2 linked regions of the Stegostoma tigrinum genome follow. The protein of the gene in region 2 purifies or fractionates together with the protein of the main gene of each other region. This does not show direct contact. Links are inferred from orthologs where the notes say so. Each region holds a gene or a part of one and is shown on either strand. Other genes may lie near its edges.

Region 1 (16,172 bases), on a different chromosome or scaffold from region 2:
CCGTTGTCTAAGACCTCCGAAATAGACGGCAGGAACGGCTTGGAGGCCGTGCTGTCTGTGGGCTTCGTGTCGTACAGTCCGGCATAGAAGGATCTGCAGATCCTCAAAATGTCGGGCCGAGACGACGTCACCGAGCCATCATCCTCCTTCAGCCGGCTAAGCACAGAGCTCTCTTTGTGCACCTTCTGAAAGAAGAAACGCGAGCACATCTTGTCCTGCTCCACGGAGTGGACCCTGGACCGGAAGATTATCCTGGAGGCCTCCGCGGCGAAGAGCGAGGCTTGCTGGCCCCTCACCTCGCGGAGGTCCTCCGTGACATCGAGCCCCATCATCTGCAGAAGGAGCAGGTTCTGCACCCTTTTCTGGAGTCGCGACAGCTTTCTCCACCTCTCTCTCGCCTTCCGAACACCCTTGAGGACAAAGAACCTCTTGATGTTCTCCTTCACCGTCTCCCGTCGCCCGGAGACTCAAAGAGGGGTTTCACAGTTCTCCAACCAACGTACTCCTTCTCAAGCTCCTCGATGTTCTCTGGGGTCAACAGAGTCGTGTTGAGCTTCCACGTCCCCTTGCCGGCCGGCTGGTCGTCCTGTAAGTGACAGTCGGCCAACAGGAGGCAGTGGTCAGAGAAGAACACCGGCTCGACGCCAGTGGACCTGACCGAGAAGGCCCGTGACACAAACAGGAAGTCTATCCTTGAGCGGTCACTGTATATAAATTATGTGCCTGCGCACTTCACTCCATTCACCTGACTAAGGAGCAGCGCTTTGAAATCCTGTGATTTCAAATAAACGTTGGACTATCGAGATATAGGAACTGCCGATGCTGGAGAATCTGAGATAACACAGTGTAGAGCTGGATGAACACTGCAGGCCAAGCAGCATCAGAGGAGCAGGAAAGTTTGACGTTTCGGATTGAGACCCTTCTTCAAAAAAATGTTTCCGTCTCGACCCGAAACGTCAAACTTTCCTGCTCCTCTGATGCTGCTTGGCCTGCTGTGTTCATCCAGCTTCACTCCGTGTTCTCTTATGTTGGACTATAGCCTGGCTTTGTGTGACTTCTGACTTTGTCAGTCCCAGTCCAACACCGGCACCTCAACATCCTAGCTTTTACTTTAATGAGACACCACCCTTATTATAAAAGCAAAATACTACAGATGCTGGAAAACTGAAATAAAAATAGAAAATGCTGAAGAAACTCAGCAGGTCTGACAGCATCTCTCCATGGAAAAACGGAGTTAACGTTGAATGTCTTCGAATGTTGTCAAAACAAAATACTCCTATCAATTCACAGACTGGCAGCCAATATTCTACCTCTCACACGAGAGAATGAGACTATTTAAAATACGCTGACAGATGCTAATATGCACAGCCATCTGTGCCGAAATAACCACAAGACCCGGCGATGAGTGTTTGACAACAAAAACCTCCCAGTCACAGAAGAGATCCTAGAACAGAATGCTTGGGGGAGACACAAACGAAGTGAATGAGTCATTTCTCTCATTTCCACAACCGAAGACATTCTGTTAAATGACCGAAGACACTCTGATCCCCGAAGCTTAGTTACAGCCAGCGGCAGCCTTTACCTGTATGGGGCAAGTGTTTTTGTCCCACTGCTACTGTAGCCTTTCCAGAAATCTTCCGGGAAGAGCCGCCAGCTCCGGTTCCAGGGGCCGGCACAACTCCTCAGCCCGAACGCGAAGCCCATTATTACAAATACAGTGTAGAAAACGGCGATAACTCCGAGGGCTCCCTCTTAACACACTTCTAACTGAACTTTTACACTTCCGCAACCCACACTAAAACCAGATTAGAAGTTCCTTCCCGTCCAATGTCAGCGCAACAGTTGCTCAAAATGAAAGATGGACGGTTCTGCCGACCATTCAGTGTGTGGTATCCGCTGTCAAAGTCTGTTCCAGAGGTCCCAGAAAGAATTCGCCAATGCAGCAGAAAGAAAGCCCAGCGTTTAAACACATCATTGGGGGCAAACGAGACACTGCAACTTTGCTGAACACTGAGGGCAGCTTGTTCTTTGACCCTATGGTCAGGGGTAGGGTTCAATCTCTTTAGAGGAGGTGTGCGGGAGTAAACAGGCAAACTCGGGTAATCAGACCGGAATGCAGCGCCAGGCCAGAAGTGACTCTGCCCACTACAGCCGTTTATAGTATCAGAAATTCCCCACTGAAATCACACCACAGCACCCGACATCTGCAATCATACAGCATTAAAGAAAGAAACTGAACTGTTCAGCCCATCGTGTTTCTGCCAGCTGTTGTGAAATATCTCACTTCCTCAACATCAGGCGACGTTGTTTGGGTTGAACCCACGCTGCAGGCGTTACTCTGCATCACAAACCAACGTCAACCCAACTGACCCTAGTCTGTGCGGGGATTTTACTCTGCATCACAAACGAACCCTCCAGTCAACAGCCTGCTGAGTTTCATCAGCGATTTTTGTTTCTTTTTGTCTTTGAAATAACTGTCCAGTTAGTCTCATTGTGGAATACCAGAGTTTCAAAAAGCAAAACACTTTGAAAAGACTGGGGATGTGGTGGATGGTGTATACAATGGGGTGTGATTTAAGGATAGAATTTCCCTGCAAATCTGTATTTGACATAATGTGAAAAGGTGAAGATCCAGGCATTTGATCTATTTTGTTTTCAGAAATTACCAGGGCTCGAACATTTAATACAAACACGGGATTGTCCAAGCATGAAGGATCACTGGATGAGAAACGTTAACTCAGCAGGTTTTCGAGCATCTGTTCAGAGAAAGCAGAGTTTCTCCTGCACTTTCTGTTTTTGTTTCAGATTTCCAGCATCTGGATGTTTTTGTTATTTTGTTTCCAAGGAGGCAACCATGCAGCATCTGGATGCTTTTGTTGTTTTGTTTCCAAGGAGATAACCATGCAGGCAGGGCGCACATAAAGACAATAAGAGGGATAAATCAGATTCAAAATTACCTTCCTAATTTTAAAAGCTGTTCCCAACCATAAATCTGAATTTCTAATCTGTGTTGATGCTGTCACTTAATAACCATATCTATCCAGATAATTTAGCTGGAATCAATGAACTAACAGTAATTCAACTGTTAATACATTTTCCCCATCAAACACAGTGCAAGTGAGTTGCAGAATAAATTGCTGAGAACACTGTCCCTGTGAATGCTCTGAGGGGAGATGCAGCTAGGCATAGATTCAGAGTAAAACTCCTTTCTATACTGTCCCCACCAATACTCCCAGGGCAGGTACAGCATGCGTTGCGTACAAAATAATGCTTCCTGTACAATTTTACAACCCCATTGAGGCCTGTAACTTTTTTAAAGGATTGAATTTTCCAAACAAATAATAGAAATATAACAAAGGACAAGATCTCACCTTTTAAGACTTTTACTGTAACAAAATATAATCTACATAGATCAAGCCCTAACCTATACATAACTAATGCACCAAACTAAAGAAAACTGTATGTTTTGTATTTACCAACTAAGACAACCAGAATATATATTATCAAACACTTTTGTTCAACATCATGCTTCTGATAGATATGCATCATTAAAAGAACTATCCCAAAGTCACCTCCAGCTCTTCAAAGGAGCCATACTAGGCTGAGTTTGTAGTGTTCTTCAACAATCATTCCATTCTGCCTGGGATCTCACAGATTATAATTATCACCAACAGGTACACTTCATTGGATATGTCTCTCCAGCAGATCATCACAGACCAGAAGGTCTAGAGATTCCCAGATTTGACCCTTTAAAGTTGTTTAGCCAGCTCCGACAAAACTGTTATCACATTGTTATTTGTTCCTATTCCTCAATATTTCTGACAGAACAGCAGCAACGACCTTTCTGGCTCCATACTTTTTCTTTCCAATTCATAGTAGCTGTTCTAGTGAAAGGTGTTAAAACAGCCATTCCACGTCAATGGGCTTTTCTCCTGATGGTGACTGGATCACAATGGCATTTCTCTGAGCCAAAGTGCTTGGAGAAGACATTTTAAAACACATAATTGTCTTGTAATGTTCAGTTTTTATACCACTGTCCCCACCAAATGCTCCCGGTGAAGGTACAGTATAAATTCAACGTACAGTAAAACTTCTTCCACACTTCCACATTAAATAATGAAGCAGGTACAATACTGTTTTGATACAGAACAAAGCACCTTGCAAAGCAGAGTTATCTAAGCTCCTTCCGGGAAGATGGTGACAGAGTAACACTCTCCATGCAGACCCTCTCTACTCCGCCTGTTCTTTTTCTTTTGTTACTATTTTCTTCTCTCCTTTTAACGCTCCTGGAGCAGTGATTGGGGCAGTAGTCCCCAGAACAGCACAAGGGAAAGTGTGTCTCAAAACATCATGAGAGGAAGCTTGGCCTGGAACAACTCGAGGGAAAATGAGTCCTGGAGATCTGCGAGAAGAAAAGCCAGTCCAGGAGCAGCGCAACTTACCTTGGTGTAGCTGAGTGTCTGGTGGAGCAGCTGGAGACTTGGAGTGGAGTGGGACTGTTGTTGGTCAGGGGCCTGGCGTGGGCGATCAGACCACGTGCTTGTTGAGCTGCTGCAATGTAACATTGATCTGAAATTCTTTACCGGACTGTAATGTCAATCCTTTAACTTTGTTGTAACTATTCTACTTCTAACTTTTTTTTAGACACTGTAAGTAATGCTATTACTTTTCCTTTTATTCCTGTTTTGTATCCAACATTTATACCTAGCTACTTCTACCTAAGATGGTGCCATTGTTAAAACTTTTCACTGTACTCATGTACTCCTCTGCTGGAGTACATGTGACAACAGTGAATACTCTATCCCTTGCACTAGGGGTGTGGCACATTTCAACTTCTCTTTCTCTTTAATGGGGACTGTGATTGGAAGTGCAGTGAGCAAATATAAACATAAGGTTTGGCACAATAAGGGGTATGAATTTTTTAAAATTCCAAAGAAATAAATTAATCATTTAAGTAAATTAGTAACTCATAAAATTGCCATTAAAATGTGTCAGCGGCAAATACAAGTTTTTTTTAACCACCTTGGTTAAGAAACAGAGCTAAAGCTGGACTAGGTTGCAAGTCCTGATCACCCAAAGCTGTGGGTAGGCATTGAGGCCAAGTTGACTCGGATTTAACTAACACTGATCTTGCTTTCATGTCTGGCAACACACACTCTGAGCTGGCCTTGGTACAATTCATATAGAAGTGGGGGTTGAGTGGGGGAGAAGTGTTAGAAGCATCTTGTCTTTCGGCCAGGGTATTCCTGCACACCCATGCTGCTTTGCAGATTGGTTTTGAGGAATGAAGAGGAGGAGAAAAGTGAATTTGTGTTTGGCTTCCTCAGTCTCAAGGTTCATAGAAACTCTCCCACTCCCCACATACACGCAGAAACACACACATTCACCCCTCCACTCTGTTTCTCCCACACAAAAACACACATGCCTGCATTCAATCCTCATGCACACAAACGTGCACCCTTGGTCCTAAACCGACACTGTCCCATATCCGTACACTCCCATTCCCCATACAAGCTTTTTCTAATTCCAATACATACTCACTTAACCACTCTGACATTAACTCGCCTACTCACGCTCCTTCATTCCCATATAAATGCTGCCAAGTGATCAACAGGCCTGCTCCACCACCTTGACTGCAGCCTTTCAGGGCATCAATGCTTCAATGAAAGGGAGAGTGCTGTCATCTCACAACCTGTTTGCTATCCTGGACCCTCCTTCCGTAAACCACTTAGCATCTCAGAGTCTTCTCCCCCATCTCCCTCACCATCTTAAATCTTTCTACCCCATCTCCTTCACTATCTCAGAACCTTCTCCTCCATTTCCATCACCATCTCAGAGTCTTATCCCCTGAACCAGTTATCACATCACAGCCTGTTCTTCTCACCCACCTACCGGGTATGCTGTCCTTTACAGTCTCCCCCACACAGCAGCAGGCTTACCATTGTTCCCAGTGTCCTCCTCAAGCTCATTGAAGATAAGGATATTTGCTGCTCTTCCAAAAAGAAGTTATTTATACATAGAATCCCTACAGTGTGGAAACAGGCCATTTGGCCCATTGAATCCTCCAAAGAGCATCCCACCCAAGCCTACACCGCCCCCCCCCCCCCCACCGCCATTCCTGTCACTCTGCATTTCTCATGGCTGATCCACCTAGCCTGTACATCTTTGGACTGTAGAAGGAGCCCATGCAAGACATGGGGAGAATGTGCAAACTCCCCACAGTCACCTGAAAGTGGCACAAACTGTGGTCCCTGGTGCTGAGGGGCTGCTGTGTTAACCACTAAGTCACCATGACATCCCAAAGTAAGGAGGTCCTTGGTCTCTAGATGGTTTCAAACCACCAACCTTCTGGTTACAGCCAAATGCACTAACCTACTGCAACACACAGACAGGTGCCATTTCTTTTCTGTGTTGCTGCCCATTGGCTCAGTAGTGAACCGATCTATGGCAAGGGTGGGAACAAAACAGCTTCAGAATGATGAGCATCTCCATGGTGGATCTCTAACATGTATTTAACTGTATTTACAACAAGGCTTGATGGCCAGATAGGCCCTCTAGGAATAAATTGGATATAAATTGCAAAGTTTACTTGAGTGGGATAAAGAGGAATTTTATTACCCACTGACCCCCATAAAATATTAAAAATGAAACATCAAACACCTAAAATACTCAGGTAATAAGTTTAAAAAGGAAGTTGAGGTATGGACAGGAAGTAATGGCAATTTCACTTTAAAGTGCTCAGAGTCCTTGAGTTGTGAGAATGACCTGAATGCTAACTCGTTCTTGTCTTGCTTCTTCAGTAGTGACAAAGTTTGTAGATCTTTGACTTCCTAGGTGACCGGTTGTTTTCCCAAGTTGGTTTTTTGCTGGGTACTGACTTCAAGTTTAGGAATAACAGGGAGTTCCAGGTTCTTGTCTAAATAATCATATTTCTCTCTCACTTCTCCTTTGCTGCTCAAAAGCTGTCTTGATATAGGTTTACTTATATATTCTTGAATCTGTTTTATTGCTTTTTCAAACTAAATAATGCACAGGTAACCTTTTATCTCCCAAGGTGTGATTTTATTGTGCAATTGTAGTCAGTTTGCTGGTTTCAGTCTTTAGATAACATGGCAGTCGCAATAATGCTGTTTTTCATTTATTCCATATCCCAAATTTTTCTCAATCTGTGGTCAGGAGATCACAGCAGCCATTTTTGGTCAGAATGTGGCCTTTTTCCAAGCATTTTCTGTCATTCAATTCTTAGGTCAATCAGGTGAAGGAATTTGAATATTGATGGTCCATTTTTATTACAATTGCAAGAATATGTTGATAAAAATCCCTACATTGTGAAAGTAGGCCATTTGACCCATCAGGTTCACATTGGCACTCCAAACAGCATCCCTCCCAGACCAATTCCCCCTGCCACATGCCTGTAACCTTGCATTTCCCAAGCTAATCCACCTAGCCTGCACTCTATGAACAATTTAGCATTGCCAATCCACCCAACCTGCGCCTCTTTGGGCTGTGGGAGGAAACCTGAGCACCCAGAAGAAATTCACACAAACATGGAGAGAATGTGCAAACTCAGACAGTCACCCAAGGCTGGATTCAAACCCTGGCATTGTGAGGCAGAAGTGCTGACCACTAAGCCACCATGCCACCCATGCCAAATTCAAGGCTGAATTATTTTATTCATGTACAGCTTAATTCACCATAGTTGCAATCTCTCCTTAGAGAGAAAGACACAACTGGTGGCGAGTTTAATCAATGGTTAATGTGCCAAGGCGAGAGTTGGGGTTGAGAAGGCAGGGCCTTCATAGCAACTTTAAGCCCTTATAGGAAATTAATCCATGCTCATGGCATCACAAATCAGCTGTACAGTCACCTAAGTTAACCTACCCATCTATATCATTCTACAAAGGAGTGAAGGATTACTGGAAGAGGGGTGCAGATAGGAAAATGGAGTTAAGATCACGATTAAATCAGACATGATCTTATTGATTGGCTGACAGAAATTCAGGGGCACGAATGGCCTACTTTTTCTCTGATTTCCCATGACTTTAAAAGTCATCTCGTAAATGGCAAAATCCAAAAGAGATCCCTCCAATCACTATTTATCATTCAATCATGTTTGTGAAGTCAAATTATCTGGTATTTATCATATTTGCTGCCGCGTGGCAACTGTTCTTATACTTTCAAATGATATTTTGGATTGCAGATTGGGGTTTATATTTTGTTCAGAAATCAGGGTTCATCTGTGAGTTTGGAGATTATGATTTGTAGTTGGATAAGAAATTTTGATGTTGATTTAAGTTGAAAATTTGATTATATTTAGGTTTGCAGTTTGGGTCATGCTTGAATCTGAAGGAGTTGTGTTTCTAAGATAGCAGGAACTGCTGATGCTGGAGAATCTGAGATTACACGGTGTAGAGCTGGATGAACACAACAGGCCAAGCAGCATCAGAGGAGGCGGAAGGCTGACGTTTCGGCCTTAGACCCTGCTTCAGAAAAAGAAACATCTGGATGAGCTGCGGATTGCAGTTAGTCAGTTCTCCTCCCGGATGATCGGAGCGCTGTTGAAGGAGTTGTTCCCAAAGTGGCCCCTCCTGGTTTCCTTGTCTGTCCCCTGGGAGTTTGATCTGACGTGTAGCTGCCGGTGTGGAAGGAGAGGCCGGGTGCCGGCGCAAATTAAGGCGGAGCGGGGTAGGGAACCGGCGCTAATCCTAGCTGCAAAGTAGAGATGCCGAAGAACAGCGGGAAGCAGCTGAAGCCGAGCCCCAGCCTCCGGGAACGGCTGGACGGACACGAACTGGACCTGAGCCTGAACGGCCTGAGTGAGGTCCCGGTCCGGGAGCTGGTGAGTGGCGGCCGGTGGGGGTGGGGCAGAACCGAGGAAATGTCTGTCGGTGGGCACCAGCGGGTTGAGACCCTGTGCGTGGGCAGGGCTGGAGTGCGATGGTTCCCACAGTTTGTCAGCCTGCTACCACTGCCCAGTCTCTCGTTTCGTAAACAGACGTTGAGTGCCGGGCAGTGTCCACTTGAAGCGGGAGGAAATGATAGAGGCTCCTGAGTCTGTAATTACACGTTGTGGACAAAGTTTCTCTCCCAGAGAGCGGTGAACTTGTGGAATTCTCTGCCACTGAAAGCGGTCAAGGTCAAAACATGGAATGTTTTCAGTAAGGAGTTAGATATGGTTTTCAGGGCTAAGATGATCTGAGGGTATGTGGAGACAACGGGAACAGGGTGCCGAGATGGATAATTATCCATTACCGTACTGAATGATGGAGCAGGCTCCAAGAGCCATAAGACCATAAGATATAGGAGTGGAAGTAAGGCCATTCGGCTCATCAAGTCCACTCCGCCATTTAAATCATGGCTGATGGGCATTTCAACACCACTTCCCTGCACAATCCCCATAGCCCTTGATTCCTTCTGAGATCAAGAATTTGTTGATCTCTGCCTTGAAGGCATCCAACGTCCCGGCCTCCACTGCACTCTGCGGCAATGAATTCCACAAGCCCACCATTCTCTGGCTGAAGAAATGTCGTCTCATTTCAGTTTTAAATTTACCCCCTCTAATTTTAAGGCTGTGCCCACGGGTCCTAGTCTCCCCGCCTAACGGAAACAACTTCCTAGTGTCCACCCCTTCTTAAACCATACATTATCTTGTAAGTTTCTATTAGATCTCCCCTCAACCTTCTAAACTCTAATGAGTACAATCCCAGGATCCTTAGCTGTTCATCATACGTTAAACCTACCATTCCGGGGATCATCCGTGTGACTCTCCGCTGGACACGCTCCAGGGCTAGTATGTCCTTCCTGAGGTGTGGGGCCCAAAATTGGACACAGTATTCTAAATGGGGCCTAAGTAGAGGCTTATAAAGCCTCAGAAGCACATTGCTGCTTTTACATTCCAACCCTCTTCAGATAAACAACAACATTACATTTGCTTTCTCAATTACGGACTCTACCTGCAAGTTAACCTTTAGAGAATCCTGGACCAACACCAGATCCCTTTGCACTTCTGATTTGCGAATTTTCTCACCGTTTAGAAAATAGTCCATGCCTGTATTCTTTCTTCCAAAGTGCAAAACCTCACATTTACTCACATTGAATTTCATCAGCCATTTCCTGGACCACTCTCCTAAACTGTCTAAATCTTTCTGCAGCTTCCCCACCTCCTCAGTACTACTTGCCTGTCCACCTATCTTCGTATCATTGGCAAACTTCGCCAGAATGTCCCCAGTCCCTTCTTCCTGATCATTAATATATAAGCTGTGGCCCCAACACTGAACCCTGTGGGACACCACTCGTCACCAGTTGCCATTCCGAAAAAGAGCTTTTTATCCCAACTCTCTGCCTTCTGTCAGACTGCCAATCCTCCAAATCTTAGCCAAATGGCCTACTCTTCAATTTTTTATATTTCTAACACAATCCATGTGGGGTCTCAACCTGTGTATGAAGTAAACCACATTGTGACAACTTTGGGTCTGATGATCTTAGCAACAGAAATAGGTCTTGCGTTATTGTTAGCAAGTTAATAGTTTGATTAAAGCAGAATGTTCTTATTAAAAATTGCAGAAGTGTTTGCCTATAGTGACATTACCTGTATTGTATGTCTCAAAATTTATGTGCCCATCAACAAACAGACGTTTATTTCTTGTGCATCTGTGTATGCAGAATCCACGTCAATCTACGCAATCATGTCAAAATAAAAAAGCTGGTGGTTTGGGGTGTTTTGAAAAGCATTAAAGTTGACAAGTCGCCTGGACCTGATGAGATCTAGCCAAGAAGCTGAGGGAGGCTAGTGAAGAAATCGGGGCTTTGTTCTACATCTTTGCATTCTCTTTAGTCACGGGAGACATTCCAGAGGACCAGAGAATTCCCTATCTTGTTTCTTTGTTTAAGAAGGGCAGAAGGGATAATCTGGGAAATTACAAGTGAGTGAACCTTATGTCAATGATAGGGAAATTATTGAAGATCCTTAGAATTTACTCACATTTGGAAAAAATTACATTTATTTGCATTAGGCAGCATGACTTGTGCAGTGAAGGTCATGTTTCACAAACTTGATTGCCTCAAAAAAAATTCAATGACAGACGATCGAGGCAGGGTGGTAGATATTGTCCATATAGACTTTAGCAAGACTTTTGACAAGCTCCTTCATGGCAGCCTGTTAGAAAAGGTGAAGTCACATGGGATCCACAGTGAGCTGCTAAGATGGATGCAGAACTGGCTTAATCAGATAAGACAGAACAGAGATGGAGGGGTGCTTTTCTGACTGGAGATCCCTGTTGCAAATGAATTGGAGGAGAATGTCGGTAGTTAGATTATAAATTTTTGGATGACACAAAGATTGGGGGAACTGCATTTAGTGAGGAGGATTTCCGGAGGATACAGCTGGATAGATAAACCAGAAACAGCCAGAGAAATGGCAGATGGAGTTTAATCTGGACAAATTGAGAAGATGCATTTTGGAAGATCTATGCAGGAGAGAACTGTACAGTAAATAGCATCAACATACAGAAGGATCTAAGCATACAGGTTCATAATTCTCTGAAAGAAGCGACACAGGTGGATAAGGTAGTCAAGAAACTATATGGAATACTTGCCTTCAGTCACTAGGAGAGATTATTTTTAAGTAGATGGCAAGTCATGTTGCAGCTGTATAGTACTTTAGTTAGGCTACATTTGGAATATTGTGTATAATTCTGATCGGCACAGTACCAAAAGGCTTTGGAGAAGGTACAGAAATAGTTTACCAGGATATTACCTAGATGGGAAGGTATTAGCTATGAGGAGAGATTGGACAAACTTAGTATGATTTCACTTGAATGTTGAAGTATGAGGAGCAACCTGATAGAAGTTTACAAAATGGAAATGCTCGGCTGGAATGGATAGTTGAAGTCTTTTTCCTAGGGTGGAAATGTCAATTACTAAGAGACAGAGGTTTACGGTAAACGGGGAAGTTTAAAGGAGATGTGAGAGGCAAGGATTTTTATTTTATGAAGTGGGTAAGTGCCAGGAATGTGCAGCCAGAGGAGGTGGTGAAGGCAGATACGATAGCATTCTTTAAGAGGTATCTTGACAGATATATGAATGGGCAGGAAATACAGGAATACGGTCCACCGTTTTCAGTTTAGAAATTTGGCACAGGCTTGGTGGACTGAAGGGCCTGTTCCTATGCTGTACTGTACTTTGTGTACTGTCCTCATCACATTCCTAGTTTAGGTTCATTATAAACCTATTTGTCTCACATTGCAATAGGAGATCCTTGAGTATGAATTAAGGGAATTAGAACTGAGTTGATGGTAATGCATTAATGAAAATGTTGTTTGAGCCTTGCATTCAATTCCTTCTGGGCCACCAAAAGTTCAAGTTTGCTGCCTTGTAATAGCAGCTGTGTTTTAATCCTATCAAACTTTAAAATAATACTTGTATTTTCAGGCAGCATTGCCCAAAGCAACCGTCCTGGATCTGTCCTGTAATTGTCTTGTCACATTGCCGGTAAGTTATTGTATAAGTCGCATCTGTTAGTGTGCGTGTGTTCTGTATGCATAAATTCCATGTGTTCTGGGGTGGGGGTGAAGGTAGCAATTAGATAAACAAGGTGTCATGTGACTTCTCTTGACAGCAAGAATCGCCTAGGTTCTGACTTTATCTTTGTCTGGGGAGGTGAGATTTCATAGCTCAGCAATCATCATGTGCCACCTCTGAGATAGTGTGATGTTTTCAAGAACATTCTTGATCCCTGAGGGAGTCAATACCATCAGGGGAGGGAGAAGGGAGAGCTGGTACAAATATACATTCCTCACTCAGAAAAACACCTTCAGGAGAGGGAGAGAGATCATTGACTTAGAAAAAAATGTTGTAATATGGTAATACCCTTGTGTGATTGTCATGGGATGCAGCATCCTGACTACAGCCTGTTCATGAAAATTCAGTTTTTACAAACACCAGAAAGTAGTCTGAGTACAATGCGTTTAGGGCAGCACAGTTGTTAGCACTGCTGCCAGGGACCCTGGGTCGATTTCAGCCCTGGACGACACTCTGTGTGGAGTTTGCGCACTCTCCCCAAGTCTGCATGGGTTTCCTCCAGGTGCTCCGGTTTCCTCCCACAGTCCAAAGACGTGTGGTTTAGGTGAATTGGCCATGCCATAATTGCCTGTAGTGTTCAGGGAGGTGTAGATTAGGTGGGTTATAGGGGGATGGGTCTGGGTCTGGGTGGGACGCTCCGAGGTCCAGTGTAGACTTGATGGGCTGAAGGGCCTGTTTTCACTGTAGGGATTCTATGAATGTGATGCATTCAGGACATATCTTCAATGGGTCAAAATAAATGAGAATAACAGAGTGAAAAGGCGTTTTGGTTCATCAAGAGCATGCTGGTGTTCATGGTCCATTTGCGTTTCTTCACACTGTTTAACAAACTATCAGTATCCAGTTCTCCCTCATGTTCATGTAATGTTTAAAGCTTCAAAACTGTTAAAGTTGTAAAGGCTCAAAACAGGGGCCTTAGGCCATCAAGTCTATCTGACCTCCGCAGTCTTTGCCACTCCCCTGTCCATCACAATATCTCTGCAACTCCTTTTCCTTCAAGTGCCCATTTAAGTTCCTTTAAATCATTGACCATCTCTATTTCCACCACCCCAACACAAACAGTGAGTTCCAAGTTATCACTCTCGCCCCACAAAGATGTTCTTCCTCAAATGCACCCTCTATCAGTTGCCAAAACTTTTACGTGTGCACCTTGGTCCTTGCAGCATTAGGTAATAAGAACAGCCATTATTTTAAGTTCACACTTCCCTGAAGTGTATAACCTCACATTTCTCATATCATCTTCGTAATTTTTTTTAAAAATGACTCCCGTTCCCTAATAGCCTTAAAGTCCACTCCAGCATTCATTATGAATAATAATGTGATCAGAACTATATGCAGCACTTCAAGTGGGCCCTAAGTGAACTAGTTTCTAACATTTTCCTTTTTTTGGACCATACAACATTGAAGGAGCCTGGACTTACAGGCTTCAAGTTTAAAGATGGATTGTCACCTCCAGCACCTCAAAGAATTGTTACATCACTCCCAGGACAGTGCAACACAGGTTATCTATAAAGTTTCCACTGCTGAGTCATCATACTCTCCCAAGACAGGTGCAGCATAATGTTAGATAGAGAGTAAAGCTTATTCTATGCTGCTGCATCATATCGCCTATGATGAGTACTTGTTTTTTGTGTGTTTTTTTCTTCTGCCTATTGCATTGACATTTGGTGGTTATGTAATTCTGTCCTGCGTCAGTGGATTAACTCTGCTTCATGCCCCAATCCAGCTGGTGAGAAACTTGTAGTCGTTAGCTGTGATTTAGTTTTTTTGCCTCTGAGTCTGAAGGTTATGAGCTCAAGTTCCCCTTGAAAGAAATGCACAGGATTTAAGCTGACATGGCCAGTACTGAAGGAGTGCTACATTGTTGAATGTCTTTATGCATGAAAAGTTAAGCCACAGTCTTCCCTGCCTTCTCTCACACACAAGATTTTATGGCCAGTAATTCAGATATCGGCAAAATGAATTGATTTGGTGTTCTGCTTAAGTTTTACCTCATTGCTGTTTGTGTGATCTTACTACGCCTAAATTGACTGCTGCATTTCCTATAGTGCTCAGTGGCTACCTTTTAAATAGTGCTCCTAATGTTAAAAAATGTGCAATGCAATGCACATTTTATTCCTTTTATTCCTCGCCCATGGAGGGAAATGTAGCTGATCCCAAAACCATTCTCACGCACATTGTACTGAGAGTTGTTAATCCATAGAATCCCTCGAGTGGAAACAGGCCCTTCGGCCCAACAAGTCCACACCGATCCACAAAGCAGCACAGACCATTTCCCCAGATATACACAACCCTGAACACTGTGGGCAAAGTGTCACATTGCATGGCAAACTTGCCACTGAGCCAACTGTAATTGGCTGAATAAATTACAAATTTTAATGGTACCTCGTGTCATTAAACAATATCCAATGAATGATCTTTACTGTTGTCTTAAGAACCAAGTAGTGAATTTGATCCAAACAATTTCATACCTTCTGTAATGATAAAATTATCATTTGTTTGCCAAAAAAATGCTTTAGTTATTCATAAAAAGCATTGTGTAAATTATAGTATCGTGATTTGGTTCTTGATATGCATCAAATAAATACCTTTGACTTGATCTTGTTTTACATTTAAAGCACTAAATTTATCTGAGGAAGGATCACTCATCTGGATATGTTCGTTCCAATTTCTCTCCACAGATGTTGTGACACCCACTGAGTTTATGCAGCAACTTCCATTTTTGATTTCGTTTTACAGTATATGATCAGGAGCAGGAATCTTGGCTCAGGGACACTGACATGAAATGTGGCATCCTGGTTGTTGATGGCTAGTTAATTTTGTGTAATATAGATAGAGTTTTGTCTCCCTTGAGCATTGTGGTGGGCAGGTTTGTATAATATTTTATTGTGAGCAGAGTTTGAGAATTCTGATGCCTGGCTGGAGATGTAAGCTTAAGTGAGAACATTTTTAACTGGTGTCCATGTTTCAAGCAATTTCTTGAGCAGCTGTTTGTTTTTATAAATTGTTTTTGTTTATTTCTCTGTCTGAAAACAACCTCTTTGTCAAATGCAGCCAGAATTCTGCAGTCTGACACATCTCATTAAACTTGATCTCAGCAAGAACCAGCTGCAGGAGCTTCCTTCAGATTTTGGGCGACTTATTAACCTGCAGCATTTGGACCTCTACAACAACAAACTGACTAACCTACCAGTCAGCTTTGCTCAGCTCAAGGTAGGCAGCCTATTCCAATAATCTCATACTGGGGATCCCTTAAACAGAAAACAAGCTTTTCTCTGTCAGTTTTCTTTCCCCATCATCCTCTAAGCTTGCAATTAATATTTTATCAAGACCATCTTGTGGAATTGGGAAAGCAAATCATTGTCGTGGTCACTTTTATTATACTGGTCAAACTGCAAACTTTCCTTTCTTGTTTCACCTGCCCTTCAATGCTTTCTTGTGCATGTTTGTGTGTTTTCTTTCAATTTCACCAATGTCAAGATCCAGACTACACTCAAAGTCTCTTGCTGTAACTTATTTTTTCATTTACCAGCCACCCCACCCTAATACATGGTGGCTCAGTGGTTAGTACTGCAGCCTCACAGTGCAGGGAC
Region 2 (16,954 bases):
GATACTGTAACTATCTAGTAAGCTCTTCAAAAAGCTAATTTATTGCAGAAACTATCCCAAAACCTACAACCTCAGAACTCAGTCCAAGCTGGATTTTGGATCTTGTCGACTTAGAAACAAAAAAAAAATTTAAATTTTAATTCAATAAACGGAATACATTGACTTGAAGTCAATAACTTTCTACTTCTATTTAAATATTTACTTGTTAGTACCGAACTCAAGTATTGGTGACAAATAACACACTCTACCAAAGCTTCTTGCCTTGTGCAAATCAGGACATTTGTCAAGAATAATAACGAAAAGTTAACATTCAGTGTGTGGGAGGACAGTATTGATCGGTTGGCAGGTGAGCTCTGATTGATAGAGACATTGCCATGCAGCATACACCAATAATGATGGAGTTTGCCAGGCTTTTGTCTAAGTTTTAGACAAGAGGACTCTCATCACGACACTGTCCAGAGCAGTGAAGCAGTCCATGGCTAAATAAGTCCAGGTTTAGGCTGACAAGTGGCAAGTAACATTTCAGCCACATAAATGCCAGTAATGACCATCACCCATAAGAACCTAACCATTTCTCCTTGATCTTCAATGGCACTACTATCATTGAAACCCCACTGTCAATATCCTGAGGGCTTACCATCGACCAGAAACTGAACTTGACACGCTATGTAGGCACTGTGGTTACATAAGCAAATTACACACTAGGAATCCTGCAGCAAGAAATTTACCTCTCCACGCCCCAACACCAGTCCACTCTCTACAAAGTCAGCAGTGTGATAGAACAACAGCCACCCAGGACAAAATAGCACATTCGACTAGCATTGCATCCATAACATTCACTCCCTCCACTACTCTGTTGCTACTGAGTGTACTATCTACGAGATACACTGCAGAAATTCATGGAGGTTCCTTAGACAGCACTTTTCAAACCTGTGATCACTACCTCTAGAAGGACAAAAACAAATATGGGAACACCATCACTTTCAAGTTCTCCTTCAGTTACCTTGAAGATATATCACTGTTCCTTCTGTGCCCCAGGTCAAAATCCTGGAACTATCTCCTGAATGGCATTTTGGGACGAGCCTACGGTATGTGAATTGCACTGATTCAAGATGGCAGCTAACCAACTCAAAGACTATGGATGGGCAATAAATGCTGGCCTCACCAATGACGCCCACATCCCCCAAATGGAAAGGAAAATTAACCAGTGAATAGCACCTATTTGGTTCAGTTGAATCAAGTGCACTGTGTACACATTCGATTTGCATAAAAAAGGGCCTGCTACATTAATAGCTATAAAACTGTACATGCAAATACACCACTCTGCAAACCCAACTCAACCTTAAATTTAGTAGATAAGTCCTACTGGGATTACATTTAATGTTGTGCACGGTTATGATATCGATGAGGGTAGGCTGGTTGGGTATGGTCAGAAGCTTACTCGCCATGAAAGACTACACTATCTAATACAACCTGCTGGTCTTGGCTGTATGGCTTATGTATGTAGTTTCACGCAGGCAGCATAATTCAGCTACCATATTACCCATTCATGTGGCATTCAGAATATCTTTTCAGTAGCATTTCCTGACCCAGTTCTTTGGATATCCACTATTTAAAAAGGGCAACAACATGGAACTATGTCAAGGGGAAGAGGAATACAGAGGAGGACTATCTCTTCCAAGTGTTCAAGGATAATGGCTATCCAAAGAACTGGGTCAGGAGATGCCTACAGGAACAGCAGAAAGATTCTACATGCCCCGACACACTCATCACACTGCCCTACATCAGGAACACATCAGAACTCACCACGTGACTTTTATGACCACTGGGCATTAGAGGGGCACACAAACCCACATCAGCCCTACAACAAGAGCTCACCCGAACTAAAGGCCCATTCCCCACCATGGACAGGACCAATGTCATCTACAAGATCCCCTGCAGAGACTGCAAGAAACACTACATTGAGCAAACAGGAAGGAAACTAACGAGAGTACATGAACACCAACTACAAAAAGACATGACCAATACTCACTCATCTCAATCCACATGGAGAAGAACCACCACTTCGACTGGGACAACACCAAGATCCTGGAACAGGCTAGGCAGAGACACGCACGAGAATGCCTGGAAACGTGGCACTCCACGAAGCAAGCTATTAATAAACACATTAAACTCGACCCCATATACATTCCTCTATGGAGGAAACCCGGAAGTGAGGCAATCCATCACAATGGACCCCAGAGTTTAAGAGCCAGGTGAGAAAACACACTGATGCTTCTTCAGAGGCTGCACTGAGGATATTACCAAGTACGGTGACGAAGCGTCTGCGGAACAAACCAGCCAACCAACCTCAACATGCACAACCCGAGCTACAAATCTACTCCGAAACCTTAAATATTAACTCTGTTTCCCTCTCAACAGATGCTGCCAAACCTGCTGAGTTTCTCCAGCATTGTGTTTCAGATTTCCAACATCCACAAAATTTTGTTTTAATTATTGCAATCTGTGATGGACAAGGCACTTTTCAGGATCAAAATTTAAGTCCTGGGGCCAGTTCATCAGTTTCCACCACACAGAGCAGCAAACACAAACTGTTCTGAGGAAGAGCTACTGGTCCCGAAAGGTTAACTCTGCAGTTTCCTTCACAGATGCAGCCAAAAATGCTGAGCTTTTCCAGCTACTTTGTTTCTGTTCTTGATTTACAGCATCCACAGCTCTTTCAGTTTTTATTCTGTAAATCAAGAGCTGAAATAATTACCATCCATCTATTTGCTGATGACTCCTCCCAAAAGTAGAGCACGTCTTCCTTCCAGCTACTGCTTTATTCATTTAAATCAGAAGGAACAATAATTTTGGCTTTAGAAATAGAATTCTGAACATCTCTATCATTCCAAACAACCATCTCAGAAAGATGATTGCAAAGATTTCATTCGTGAATTGACCAGAAAAAATATGCAAGGTGTTGTGCCCTGAGCATATTATAATGTATCATGCACAATGCCTCACACGACAACATGTTTGTCCATATGCATAGGAGCATCGTCAGTTAGAACAAATTATCTTGATAAAATACTATCTCAACTCCAGGACAGATTGTTAGCTTGATACACACATTACCAGTTAGTTACGTGCTGTCGTGAGATTTGTGGTATCTGCTTATTCATTTCAATTTTGTTTTTAGCCAGGTAACATAGTTGAAGACAGAAAAAAATATTGAGTGTCATGCAATCAACTTCTCTATTCCTTATCTGTAACTGAGCAGGTATAATACTAATCCATAATTTAGAAGTGGAAATTACTTCTGAATGACAACCACAAGATCCAACCTGTTCATGATGCCATCAAGGCAGACTCCTACACTTGCCAAATTAAAAAGGGCAAGAAACAATGCCCTTCTTGGAGCAGACTCAAATCTTGATAGATAAAACTACAATGTCTTACTTTGTCAACTGTGCTATTCTCAGAGTCATTGAGACTTCCAGTACTGAGACAGGACTTTGGCCCAAACTGGTCCATGCCAAGCAAAATGTCCATCCCATTTCCCTGCACTTGGCCCCCATCCTTCTAAATCTTTCCTATCCATTAAATGCTGTTAATGTACCCATATCAACCACTGCCACTGGCAGCCCATTCCATATGCATACGACCCTCTGTTTAAAAAGGTTGCCCCTCAGATTTCCATGTATTCTTTCTTTTTTTTACCTTAAACCAATGCCCTCTAGTCCTCAATTGCCCAACTCTAGGAAAAAGGCTGAGTACATTCACCCTATCCATGCCTCTCATGATCTTATACACCTCTGTAAGATCCCCCTCAGTCTCCTATGCTCTGAAGAAAAAAGTCCTAGCTTGTCCAACCTCTCCCTATAACTCAGTCCCTTGAGTCCTGGAAACATCCTTGTAAATTCCTTCTGCACTCTTTCCAGTTTAATAACATCCTTGCTATAGCAAGGTGACCAAAACTGAAGACAATACTCCAAGTGTAGCCTCACCAACGTCATGACAACTGCATCACAACATCCCAACTTCTACACTCTATACCCTGACTGATGAAGGCCAGTGTATCAAAAGCCTTCTTCACTGCCCTGTGTACCTGTGACTCCACGTTCAGAGATTCATGCACCTGAACTCCAAGATTCCTCTCTTCCACCACACTCCTCGAGGCCCTACCATTCACCTCGAAACTCCTACCTGGATTTAAGTTTCAAAATGGAACACCTTGTCTATATTAAACTCCATTTGCCAATTCTCAGCCCACTTCCCCAGCTGATCAAGATCCTGCACAATTTCTGATAACCTTCCTCACTGTCCATGATACAGCCTATTTTAGTGTCATCCACAAACTTACTAATCATAACTTGTATATTCTTATCCAAATCATTGATTACAGATAACAAACAGCAATGGGCCCAGCACTGACCCCTGAGGCACCCCACTAGTCACAGGCCGCCAGTCTGGCAAGCTTCCTTCCAGTATACCATCCAGCTAATTGCGTATCCGATGTGCCAGCTCTTCCTGGATTCAATGTGATCTGACGTTCCAGAGCGGTCTACCAAGTGGAATCTTTTCAAAGGCATTACCGAAATCCATATAGACTGCATCTGTTGCCCTACCATCATGAACCTTCTAGGTCAATTCCAACACCACCTGTACTGTCCCCAGGATGTCGCCACTAACTTCCCCAAGTTCAAGTTTTCATGTCTTTCTCCACTGTAAACACAGTACAAGTATTCACTGCAGACTTTGCCCATCTCTTGCAGTTCCATATATACATGTCTACTTTGGTCCTCAAGGGGTCCTATTCTCTCATTATTATTTTTCCTCGAGAGGTCTATTCTCTCTCTCTAACTATTCTCAACGCTGCAATACTTTGGACTGTGTTCTCCGGTTGGTTAAATTTAACCAAGTTTGCAAATTAAAGCTCTTTACTTTGAAGGATATTCAAAAGACAAGGTTTACAAAGAATGAAATAGTGTGCTTTGAAGAAATTATTAAGATGGCTGCTGAACAGTCAAGGGGGCAAGCCCAGAATCTACCTCAGGTGGAATTAGAATGAAACCTTGTGCTGCTGGCATATTCTGAGCCACACATTAGCTGCCTACCCAGCTGAGGCAATGGCACGTTATCTTTCCCCACTCAAAGAAAGTTACCCTATAAAAGTCACATTAAAAGAAGGGCAGAAAGTCCAAGCATTTCACTCCCCGCATGCATGAAATAGTCAGCCCCAACTTACTCACGCAATTCCAACCACACAGCTAAATGTCAACAATGTAATTGTAATAAAACAAAGAACTGCTGATTGGTTTTGCTTGTGTCTGCTTACATAATAATTTGTATACCAGTCTCTGCTGAACCAATTTCTTCCAATTCACAAAATATTCTGACTTATTCTCCTTCGGTCTAAACCTCTGCCTTCCCCACATTCAGTTCCAATTAGCGACAATCTGTCACTTTCTGCTTCCTTCTCTGCAATATACCATTTTATAAAATACAGAATACAGCTCACATACATTTCACTGATAAAAGGACTAATCACATTTCAATTCATACATTTCCGTCAACTTTCCAGTCCAATTTCATATCCTTTCACAATTTTTAAATTATGTCCCATAGGTCTCTTTAGTTTTAGAAGTTCTCATTTTCATTAATCAAACCATATATCTAAAGCTTTCTGAAAATTCAGGTCAACAACATCCTTAAGCACCCCCACTCAGCAGCCAGTTCTCCACACAGGAATTGCAGCATTTGAACAGAATACATGTAACACTTTTCAACATTCACATTCAAAGTCTGAGTTTCCTCATTGCCTATGCAATAAACTTTTGCCTTCAAAAATATCGACGAGTTGTTTAAAATCAAGCAACACCCATGATTTGTAAACAATTTCTGAATCACACTGAAATGTCTCAACATTACTATATAAACTACACATACTATAAACCCAGACGAAACGACACCAAGAGATAGCAATAACTGCAGATGCTGCAGTCAGAGACAACGCAATGTGGAGCTGGAGGAACACAGCAGGTCAGGCAGCATCAGAGGAGTAGGAAAGTTGACGTTTCGGGTCAGGACCCTTCTTCAGAACAGTTCTGAAGAAGGGTCCCGACCCGAAACATCAACTTTCCTACTCCTCTGATGCTGCCTGACCTGCTGTGTTCCTCCAGCTCCACACTGCATTGTAACTACACCCATGTCCTTTTCCAGTGAACAACAGGCATTTCCAACTGTTACAACTACATATTACAATTATATAAAAGTGATATAAATGGGAATTGCTTATAAATAGGTATAAAGATCACAAAAAATAAGCACAATATAATCAAGATCAACACACAAGGCAAATCACACTGTGCAGCACTCAACACCCACCTATGGCTCTCCAGCTATTCCTTCCATTCTGGACAAAAGGAATCAAAGTCTGCAGGTACTCAGTCCCAACAGAGTGGCAGACTTGGATTATGCTATGCTAGGGGTGTTCTAGTTATGAAAAGCTTTTTTAAAAGCACTGATTCAGCCTCAAGTGAATTTGTGTCGACAAAGCTGACATCTCCCTGAAGAAAGGTACGAAGACCTTAGACAAGGTGCAGACAAGAGATTGTTTCCAAGGATAAGAAACTAGTCATGCAAACAGATGGCAGACTCATTGGTTGTTCTTCAAAAAGATTGCTTTGAGTTTTGACTGTTGTTCAATCCTGAGGAATCTGGATGCAGTGGATAGAGAAACATTCTATTTGCAAAAGATCAAGAACCAGAAGGCATCAATACAAGATGAATAGCAAAAGAATCAGAGTGACAGAAGAAAAACCATTTTGTTTTTAAATGTAGCCAATGGTTAGACTCAAAATTGTTGAGTATGTAGTTAAACAGGTTGGAACTGCTTAGAAAAATGAGGTGACCTCATTGGAACATATACAATTCTTAAGGGTCTTGACATGGTAAATGCTGACAGCATACTTTCTCTCATGAGGGAGTCCAGGGCCAGAGGGCTCAGGATTGGCTCAGATCTCAGAATAACAAGGTTCCAATTTAAGACTGGGATTAGAGGAATTTGTTCTCTCGAGGGCTGAGTGTCTTTGGAACTCCTTGTCACAGAGCACTGAGGGGACAGAGTCGTTGTGTATATTTTAAATCTACAGGTCTGAAGATCCTACAACTCTCTTCCATCAGGGAAAAGATACAGAAGCTTGAACACATGCACCAGCATGTTCAAGAACAGCTTCTTCCCTGCTGTTATTAGGCTGCTAAACAGACTAACTTCAAATCTCCTGTGCAGCTGTAACCTTGTATGCTTTGCTCTAAGCACTCTATGATCTGTATGTCCTTGTTTGCTATGATCTGTCCATACTGTTCGCAAAGCAAGACTTTTCACTGTACTTAGAGCCATATGACACCAATAAATTCAAATCAAATTAAGGCTGAGTTAAACAGATTCTTGATCAGTTAGGGAATCATAGGGAAAAGGCAGGAAAGTAGGGCAGGGGTGTTGGATCAGCTATGATCCAACTGAACAGTAGAGAAGGCTTGAGGGTCCACTGTTAATATTTCTAATGGCCTTACACGGGCTATGTAACTGTCCAATTCCTAATTATCTAGAAAGAAAAGTAGATAAATGTGCAGGCTGTATAAGGGAATCGGGCAAACCCAGCTGCTCCTATATAGTTCAGGATGGGTTATAACTTCAGTTTCTACAAAAGGAGAAACTGAAAGAATTAACAATTATGCAAGTGGAACCACGTATCTTCTCTAACATCCAGTTTTAAAAAGAAAGACCACAAATGTTGATAAATGAAACACGGATATAAAAGCAGAGCTGAGATGTATCAATGACCTTTGAAAAGAAGTAGCATATAATCGATCCGAAAGACAGCACAAACGCTGCATGAAAAGCAATGATCACACGGACATGGGGCGGACCCTGTCTTACACACCCAGCAAACCAGAGCAAGGAGCATTTGACAGTACGTTAGCGGTGGGAGATGGGCGAGGGGGGTAAGTGGGTCGGGTAGGAAAAAAAGGGGTACAGCAGCGGGAAACCCATTCCAGAGGAGGGATGGGGGGTAAAAGCTCCAACTTTCCTTCGTCTTTTTCCCATAGCGGGTGGGGGTGAATACCGGATCCGGCAGCCCCGCGCCGAGCAGCGGCAGGACCTCCTCTCGCCCCCTCCCAGGCCCGGCCGTCAAACCCATCCCCCTCACCTTTCCTGGATCCTGACGGGTTAGAACGGCTGTTAGCTGTCTTGTTCTTCGAAGTCATGGTTCACTCGTTCAAAACGTGCCAGCAGATAGAGAAGGATGCGGCGACAGCCGGGCAACTCTGCGTCTCTCTCACACATACACACAAAACTCGCTCTCGCGGCCGTTAGTCCTCACCTGACCCCCAAGACCAAATCCCTCCGCAGCCGTGGAAGGGGGGGTGGGGAAAGCGTGGCCGCAGGCTGATCGACAGCCCCCTCCACCAATCGATCGTAGGTCTCCCGTCAGGCTCTTTTTGCTATTGGCTTCCCAGCGGGATGCTCCGCCTCGCCCCCCGCGCCCATCGAACGTGGCAACATGGAAGCCGAAAAACCTCGAACGAGAGCGCCACCGGCCGACAGCAGGAGCTGAAGAGCTGCTGCCGCCTTGGCGCCCCACCCCTTTTGGTTTGGTGGCGTGTTGCAAGAATCTTTACCTGTGATCCAGGAGTTTCGAGTTCAAATCCCGCCGACATCAGAATCGTGTAGTAATCTCGTAGTATCAACATATATTTTCCAAACTCGAGGGCAAGCTCTTGTGGAGTAGTGGCAATGTCCTTCGCTCTAGGCCAGGAGACGTGGGTTATGGGCTAATAAATTTCTGTTCAGTAATATGACTGAAAGAGCTGGACATCTGAAATATTTCTGTGCGGTATTATGAAACAAAAACAGAATTTCCTGGAGAAAATCAGCAGAAATGACTTACATTTGTGGAAAGTTTCAGAGTTAACTTTTCGAGTCCAGTGACTCTGCATCGGAAGGACAGAAGTGACATGACACCAGATTACATACCAACAGGTTTATTTGAAGCCTCAAGCTTTCCCAGCGCCGCTCGGTCGTCAGCTGCATCCAAAGAGTCAACACCTCAGTGCAGCTCTGAGGAAGGGTCACTCAATCCAAAATGTTAACTCTGATTTCGTTCCATGGATGCTGCCAGACCTGTGAAGATTTTCCAGCAATTTCTATTTTTGTTTTTAACATCTCAGTACAGGTTGGTTATAAAATGTTTAAGGGCTCTTACGGTACAGTGGTTGTACAGGGCCTCTGGGCCAGGAGAGTTCCTAAGTGTGGGAACAGGCCTTTTGGTCCAACAGGCCCACACTGACCCTCCAAAGAGCATCCCACCCACACCCATACCCTATCCCTGCATGTCCTGTGGCTAATCCACCTAGCTGAACATCCCTGAATACTGTGGGCAATTCAGCATGGTTAATCCATCTGCTTTGCACGTCTTTGGACTATGGGAGTAAACCAGAGCACCTGACAGAAACCCATATAGACGTGGGAAGAATATGCAAACTCCACACAGTCACCCAGGGCTGGAAAAGGATCTGGGTCCCTGGTGCTGTGAGGCAGCAGTGCTAACCACTGAGCCACCATGCAACCTGCTTATTGATGAAATAGGGAGGTCTCTTGTGGTGAAATGCTAGTATCCTAACCTCTGACCCAGGAGGCTTGGGTTCAACTCTCATCTGATCAAGAGGCATGTCATAACACCTCTAAACAGGTTCAATAGAAATATCTACTAGCGAGTGTTGAGAAGATTTGTAGCTCAGGTTGAGTTTCTGGATGTGAGTTTGCTCGCTGAGCTGGAAGGTTCGTTTTCAGACTTTTCGTCACCATTTATTTGAAAAAATATACTTTATTCATAGAATGTACAAAAAAGTAAAACATTTATACACCTACCCAGTCATGCAAGCCGCTCCGGGTTACCCAGGGGGTACGTACACCAACGAAAGGAAAAACACAAAACAAAGAAAAAAACAAAGCAAAGAAAATACCCTGGCGGTCGTCTCCCTGCACAGTCCCTGTTGGCCCCCTGACCAGTTGGGGAAGGCGCCGGCTGGGCCTAGTTACCAGATAGGGCCCTTTTTTCTATTCTGGACGAGGGGTTTCATACGGTGGTCTTTCCCCACCGTGCCTTGGCAGTAGCTACCCAAAGCTTTAGCTCGTCCCTCAGCACGTAGTCCTGGACCTTGGAGCGCGCCAGTCTGCAACACTCGGTCAGGGTCAGTTCTTTCAGCTGGCAGACCAGTAAGTTGCGGGTAGACCAAAGAGCGTCTTTCACCGCATTGATGGTCCTCCAGGCGCAGTTGATGTTGGTCTCGGTGTGCGTCCCAGGAAACAGCCCGTAGAGCACGGATTCGCGTGTCACGGAGCTGCTCGGGACGAACCTCAACAAATACCACTGCATCCGCTTCCCGACCTTCTGCGCATAGGCAACTCCAGAAGGAGGTGATAGACAGTCTCGTCCCCCCCGCAGCCACCTCGAGGGCAGCGTGCGGTGGCGCAGAGATTCAGGGCATGCATAAAGGATCTCACTGGCAGAGCCCGTCTCACCGCCAGCCAAGCAATGTCCTTGTGCTTGTTTGAAAGTTCTGGCAATGAGGCATTCTGCCAAACGACTTTGGCAGTCTGCGTGGGGAACCACGCGACGGGATCCACCCTCTCCTTTTCCTGAAGGGTCTCGAGGATACTACGTGCTGACCACTGCCTGACGGCCTTGTGGTCAAAGGTGTTTCCTTTCAAAAATTTCTCCACGAAGGACAGGTGGTACGGGACGGTCCAACTACTTGGAGCTTTCCGTGGCAACGAGGCCAGGCCCATCCTTCGCAATACCGGGGACAGGTAGAACCTCAGTAAGTAGTGACACTTCGTGTTTCCGTACTGAGGATCTACGCACAGCTTGATACAGCCACATACAAAGGTATCCATCAGGGCGAGGCTGGTGTTCGGTACGTCCTTTCCCCTGTTTCCCAGGTCTTTGTACATGGTGTCCCTGCGGACCCGGTCCATTCTCGACCCCCAAATGAAGTGGAAGCTGGCCCGGGTGACCGCAGCGGTGCAGGTCCAGGGGATAGGCCAGGCCTGCGCCACATACAACAGTACCGAAAGCCCCTCGCACCTGACAACCAGGTTCTTACCCATGATGGAGAGGGACCGGAGCGTCCACCTGCCCAGCTTCTGCTTCAGTTTGGTGATATGCTCCTCCCAAGTCTTAGTGCACACCCCAGCTCCACCAAACCAAACACCCAGCACCTTCAGGTAGTCTGTCCTGACAGGGAAGAGGATGAAGGGGCAGTTGTCCCAGTTCCCGAAGAACATGGCCTCGCTCTTACCCCTATTGACTTTGGCACCCGAGGCCAGTTCAAACTGGCCGCAGATGTCCAACAGTCTACTCACCGTCCGACAATCGGTTGCAGAAGGCAGCGACGTCGTCCACGTACAGGGAGGTCTTGACCTGAAGGCCTCCGCTGCCTGGGATAGTCACGCCCTTCAGGCTCACGTCCTTCCTGATGGATGCGGCGAAGGGCTCCATACAGCACACGAACAAGGCAGGAGGGATCAGGCAGCCCTGCCTGACTCCAGATCTGATGGGAAAACTGTCCGATTCCCACCCGTTGATCGAGACTGCGCCAATGATGTTGGTGTAGAACAGCCGGATCCAAATGCGGATGCCCTCACCGAACCCCAATTTGGAGAGGGCATCCCTCATGTAAGCATGAGAGACCCTGTCGAAGGCCTTCTCCTGGTCCAGGCTGACGAGGCAGGTGTCCACCCTCCTGTTCTGCACGTAGGCGATCGTATCCCTGATGAGCACGAGGCTCTCAGCGATCTTCCTGCCTGGCACAGCACAGGTTTGGTCAGGGTGAATCACTGACTCCAGGACAGACCTGACCCGGTTGGCTATGACCTTGGCCAGGATTTTGTAGTCCACGTTCAATAGTGAAATGGGACGCCAATTCTTAATTTCTTCCCTCTCCCCCTTACTCTTGTAAATGAGGGTGATGATGCCCTTCCTCATGGACCTGCATATTTCCCCTGCCCAAAGCACACTATTGTACACCTCCAGCAGGTCCTGGCCGACAAGGTCCCACAGAGCGGAATACAGCTCGACTGGTAAGCCGTCGCTCCTGGGAGTTCTATTCCTCTCAAAGGACTTGAGGGCTCTGGTCAACTCGTCCAGGGATATCGGCCGGTCCAGCCAGTCCCTCGTGCCGTCGTCTAAGACCTCCGTGATAGACGACAGGAACGACTTGGAGGCCGTGTTGTCCGTGGGCTTCGCGTCATATAGTCCGGCATAGAAGGATCTGCTGATCCTCAAAAGGTCAGGCCGAGACGACGACACCGAGCCATCGTCCTCCTTCAGCCAGCTAAGCACAGAGCTCTCCTTGTGCACCTTCTGAAAGAAGAAACGCAAGCACATCTTGTCCTGCTCCACGGATCGGATCTTGGACCGGAAGGTTATCCTGGAGGCCTCCGCGGCGAAGAGCGAGGCTTGCTGGCCCCTCACCTCGCGGAGGTCCTCCGTGACATCGACCCCCATCAACTGCAGAAGGAGCAGGTTCTGCATCCTTTTCTGGAGTCGCAACAGCTTTCTCCGCCTCTCTCTCGCCTTCCGAACACCCTTAAGGACAAAGAACCTCTTGATTTTCTCCTTCACTGTCTCCCACCAGTTGCCCGGAGACTCAAAGAGGGGTTTCATGGTTCTCCAACCAGCGTACTCCCTCTTAAGCTCCTCAACGTTTTCTAGGGCCAACAGAGTCGTGTTGAGCTTCCACGTCCCCTTGCCGGCCTGCTGGTCGTCCTGTAAGTGACAGTCGGCCAGCAGGAGGCAGTGGTCAGAGAAGAACACCGGCTCGACGCCGGTGGACCTGACTGAGAATGCTGGTGACACAAACAGGAAGTCTATCCTTGAGCGGAATGACCCGTTTGGCCGCGACCAGGTGTATCTCCGCTGCGCTCCGTATGCAGGGGTGCTGAAGACGTCGAGCAGTTTGGCGTCCTTCGACGTGCCCATCAGGAATCTGGACGTGACATCCAGTTGACTCCCCCCACCCGCTGTCCCCACGCCGGATCTTCCGTCTGCATTGATGATGCAGTTGAAGTCTCCGCCGAGGATGTCCGGCCTGGACGTAGCCAGCAGGGGTGGAAGCTGCTGCAGGACGGCCAAACACTCACTCCGTACCGCTGGGGCGTACACGTTGATCAGCCTCAGGGGAGCGTTCCTATAGGTGACATCAGCCACTATGAGGCACACCCCCAACACCTCCTGAACTTGAGAAATGGTGAAGTTGCGCCCCTGCAGCAGAATAGCCAGGCCCGAGGAGCAACAGTCGTTATCCCCCGACCAGATCGAAGGCCCACAGGTCCGGGCGCCCGCCCATTTCCCGTACCTGCTGAGTTGCGGTATCCCGCACTCCTGCAGAAACAGGAGGTCCGCCTTGACGGTGGTCAGGTAGGCCAACGTGGACACACATCTTGCGGTGGACTTGACGCTGCGCACATTAACGCTCACAACTCATACCCCCATTGTGGGCAGTGACCGCAGTACCCTCCCCGAGTCCAAGGTCCAGCCCCTCCATCTGTCCCTTCATGCCCATTGCCCACGCGAACTGCTGGACGCTCTCCGGGCTCAGGAACCCGTCCGTGCTGACTTCCGGGTGGCATCCCCCCGTCGGGGGTATGGGGGCAGGAGAGTCCGGCTCTGAGTCAGGCTGGGGACATGCTGTTTCCTGCTTCCTGCCTGAACGTTCAGGGGGGCCCTCCAGGGCCCAAGCGACGAATGTCTGGGAGTCGGAGGGAGCCTCAGGACGCCTCCTGTCACCTGGAATCAGGGTGCTGCTTTCCTTCTCCCTTGAGATCTTTAGCTTCTGCTTTGGGCGGGCCTCCTCCGAATCTCCCTTGTCAGAAGAACTCTTATAGCCCCCCTGTAGCTGCCTGTTCCCGCCTGATGGTTGCGGTGCCGGGGCCTGCCGGCACGCCTTCCTCCTCACCTTCCGGACCGTCGTCCACTCCCCTGTCGCCTCCTCCATTGACTCCGGGTTGTCGGGGAGGAGCGGAGCCTGCAGGGGGGCTTTGCTGGCCTTGGGTCCGTCCTGCGGGGCTGGGCCCTCCTGTACGACCTGGCCCTCCTGCACATTAGGGGGGTCATTGCAGGGGCCTGGTGCCTTCCTCTCCTCCGTGGGGGCTTGCCCCGCATTGCCCCTGCCAGCGACCTGGGCGTAGGTGGTCCCCCACCGAGGGCATGCCCTGTAGAGGTGGCCAGCTTCCCCGCAAAGGTTGCAGCTTTTTTCTTTTGGGCAATCCTTTGCAAGGTGTCCCTGCTCCCTGCAGATCCTGCAGATGGTGGCTTTGCAGTCGGCCACCACGTGACCTGACCTACTACAGGCATGGCAGACTTTTTGTTGCCCTGCGTAGGTCAGGTAGCCCTTGCTCCCACCGATCGCGAAGCTGGACGGTGGGTGTACGATGTTCTCGTCCGCGCCCGTCCTCAGCGTCACCGTGACCTGCCTCTTACTGGTCCAGATCCCGAAGGGGTCCATGATGTTGGTTAGGTCCCCTTCCACCTTCACGTACCTTCTGAGGAAGGTCAGGACATCTGCTGCTGGCACATGTGGGTTGTACATGTGTACAGTCACCATACGACTCCTCTGCACTGGCATCACGAAAAGCGGGACAGCGGTCAATACGGAGAGGGGCCCTCACCTCCTTTCTCCTTGAAAACCTCCAGGAAGCGCTTGCAAAGCTTGGCACTCCTGAAGGTCACATCGTAAAAACCTCCTCCGGGGAAATCCTGCAGGCAGTAAATGTCCGCAGCAGCGAACCCACAACAGTCCAACAGGACCCTCTTCACGAAGAAGGTGCGGTCCACAGGTGCACCTTCATCCACCTTCTTCATGGAAACGCGGATGGTGTTCCGGACCCCCTGACCTGGGGCACAAGCACTCGCCGCAGCCATCGTTGCAGGTTGGCTGCTACCCTGAACCGGCGTTCGGCCAAAGCCGGCACTAAGATCCACCAGTTGCAAGGGTGCACAGCCAACCCAACGTCTTCCTTCCAACTCCAACACAGTTGCGCTCTCCTCTTCTCGGTCCAGAAAAGAGTGGGTCTTTATTTTGTTCTGGATGTAAGCTGGTTCACTGAGCTGGAAGGTTCGTTTTCGGACGTTTCGTCACCATTCTAGGTAACATCATCAGTGAGCCTCTGGTGAAGCGCTGGTGTTATGTCCCGCTTTCTGTTTATCTGTTTAGGTTTCCTTGGGTTTGGTGATGTCATTTCCTGTTCTTTTTCTCAGAGGGTGGTAGATGGGCTCCAAATCAATGTTTTTGTTGATGGAGAAACAAACAGACAAAACGTGTCCAGAAACCAGAACCACTCTCCCCTACATCAAAGACATCTCGGAAATGACTGCCAGACTACTCAGACCTCTTGGCATCAGGGTAGTCCACAAACCCACCAATACACTAAACAGCAGCTAATGAACTTAAAAGACCCTATACAGACAACAAGCAAAACGAACATCATTTACAAAATACCTTGCAAGAATTGTGTCAAACACTACATTCGACAAACAGGCAGAAAGCTAGTCACCAGGAAACGTGAACATCAACTAGCCACAACTATCCACTATCACTCGTATCCTTACATACAGATGAGGAAGGACACCACTTTGATTGGGACAACACATCCATCCTAGGACAAGCCAAACAGAGACATGCAAGAGAATTCCTAGAAGCATGACATTCCGACCGGAACTCCATCAACAAACACCTTGATTTGGAGCCAATCTACCAACCCTGAGAAAAAGAACAGGAAATGACATCACCAATGCAGGAAATGACATCACCAACCCAAGGAAACCTAAACAGATAAATAGAAAGCGGGACATAACACCAGCGCTTTGTCGGAGGCTCACTGATGATGTTACCTAGAATGGTGACGAAACGTCTGAAAACTAACCTTCCAGCTCAGCGAGCAAACTCACATCCAGAAATATCCACTTCCAGACAGTAATAACTTCTGAGAAGGTGCTGAGTGGACCTCTCCCTCAAATAGTGTTGGGTACGCTTTGCTGTGAAATTGGGGAAATCCAGAGATTTGACTCAAAGACTGTCTAAAATTATCCCACAGTGTTCTGACAACCAAATGCCCACAAGGAAAGATCATATTGTTTCCAACAAAAGTAAAGCACTGCAGATCCTGAAGTTCAGAAATGAAGTGCTGGAGAAACTCAGCCTGTCTGGCAGCAACTGTGAACAGCTGGATGCAAATCCCATATCACTGCTTCAGAAGAGATGAAGAAGACAATTTGCATCTAACTTAGCCTCCCAGATATTCACATTAAGTCATTGTGATTCTTGTACTAAGATATTGGTAAGTCTACATTTGAATGCTGCCTAAATTCTGTTTGCCCTGCTTTCTTAAAGATGTTATTAAACTGAAAATGGTCAAAAAATGTTTACAGTGATGTTACTGAGACTGGAAGGCTCGAGTCATAAGGAAAGGCTGGATAGGTTGTGATCATTTTCCTTGCAGCACAAAAGGCTGAGGGGTGACCTTACAGAGGTTTATGAAATTGTGAGGGGCATTGATAGAATGAATAGCCAAATTCTTTTCCCCAGAGTCCAAAACTAGCACACATAATTTAAGGTGAGAGAGGAAAGATTTACAAGGTGCTTAAGGAGCAAATTTTTCACACAGAGGGTAGTGTATGTATGCAATGAGCTGCCAGGGGAAATGGCAGATACAATTACAGCATCTAAACAACATTTAGACAGGTACGTGGATAAGAAAGGTTTAAAAGGGATATGGGCCTAATGCAGACAAATGGAATTAGTTCAGTCTAGAAAACCTGGCCAGCAGGTTAGGCCACAGGGCCTGTTTCTATGTTGTATGACTCTATGGCTCTATAACTGGTTTAACCTGAATTACAGAATGTTG

What was found.
Region 1: the proteins of unm_hu7910 (region 2) and lrrc59 purify together in Homo sapiens (co-immunoprecipitation; 3 studies listed by BioGRID and IntAct, with this or other methods). This does not show direct contact. The link is inferred for Stegostoma tigrinum from reciprocal best matches to the Homo sapiens genes ASPH and LRRC59.

Annotation. Positions count from the first base shown.
Region 1 is NC_081375.1:36,165,137-36,181,308, forward strand, and holds the start of lrrc59 (leucine-rich repeat-containing protein 59), read left to right. Parts: upstream 1-8,609; 5' UTR 8,610-8,722; coding exon 8,723-8,839; intron 8,840-12,429; coding exon 12,430-12,489; intron 12,490-15,633; coding exon 15,634-15,792; intron 15,793-16,172. Other genes in the region: acsf2 (medium-chain acyl-CoA ligase ACSF2, mitochondrial), read right to left, coding at 1,583-1,704.
Region 2 is NC_081358.1:34,172,497-34,189,450, reverse strand, and holds the start of unm_hu7910 (aspartyl/asparaginyl beta-hydroxylase), read right to left. Parts: upstream 8,431-16,954; 5' UTR 8,254-8,430; coding exon 8,196-8,253; intron 1-8,195.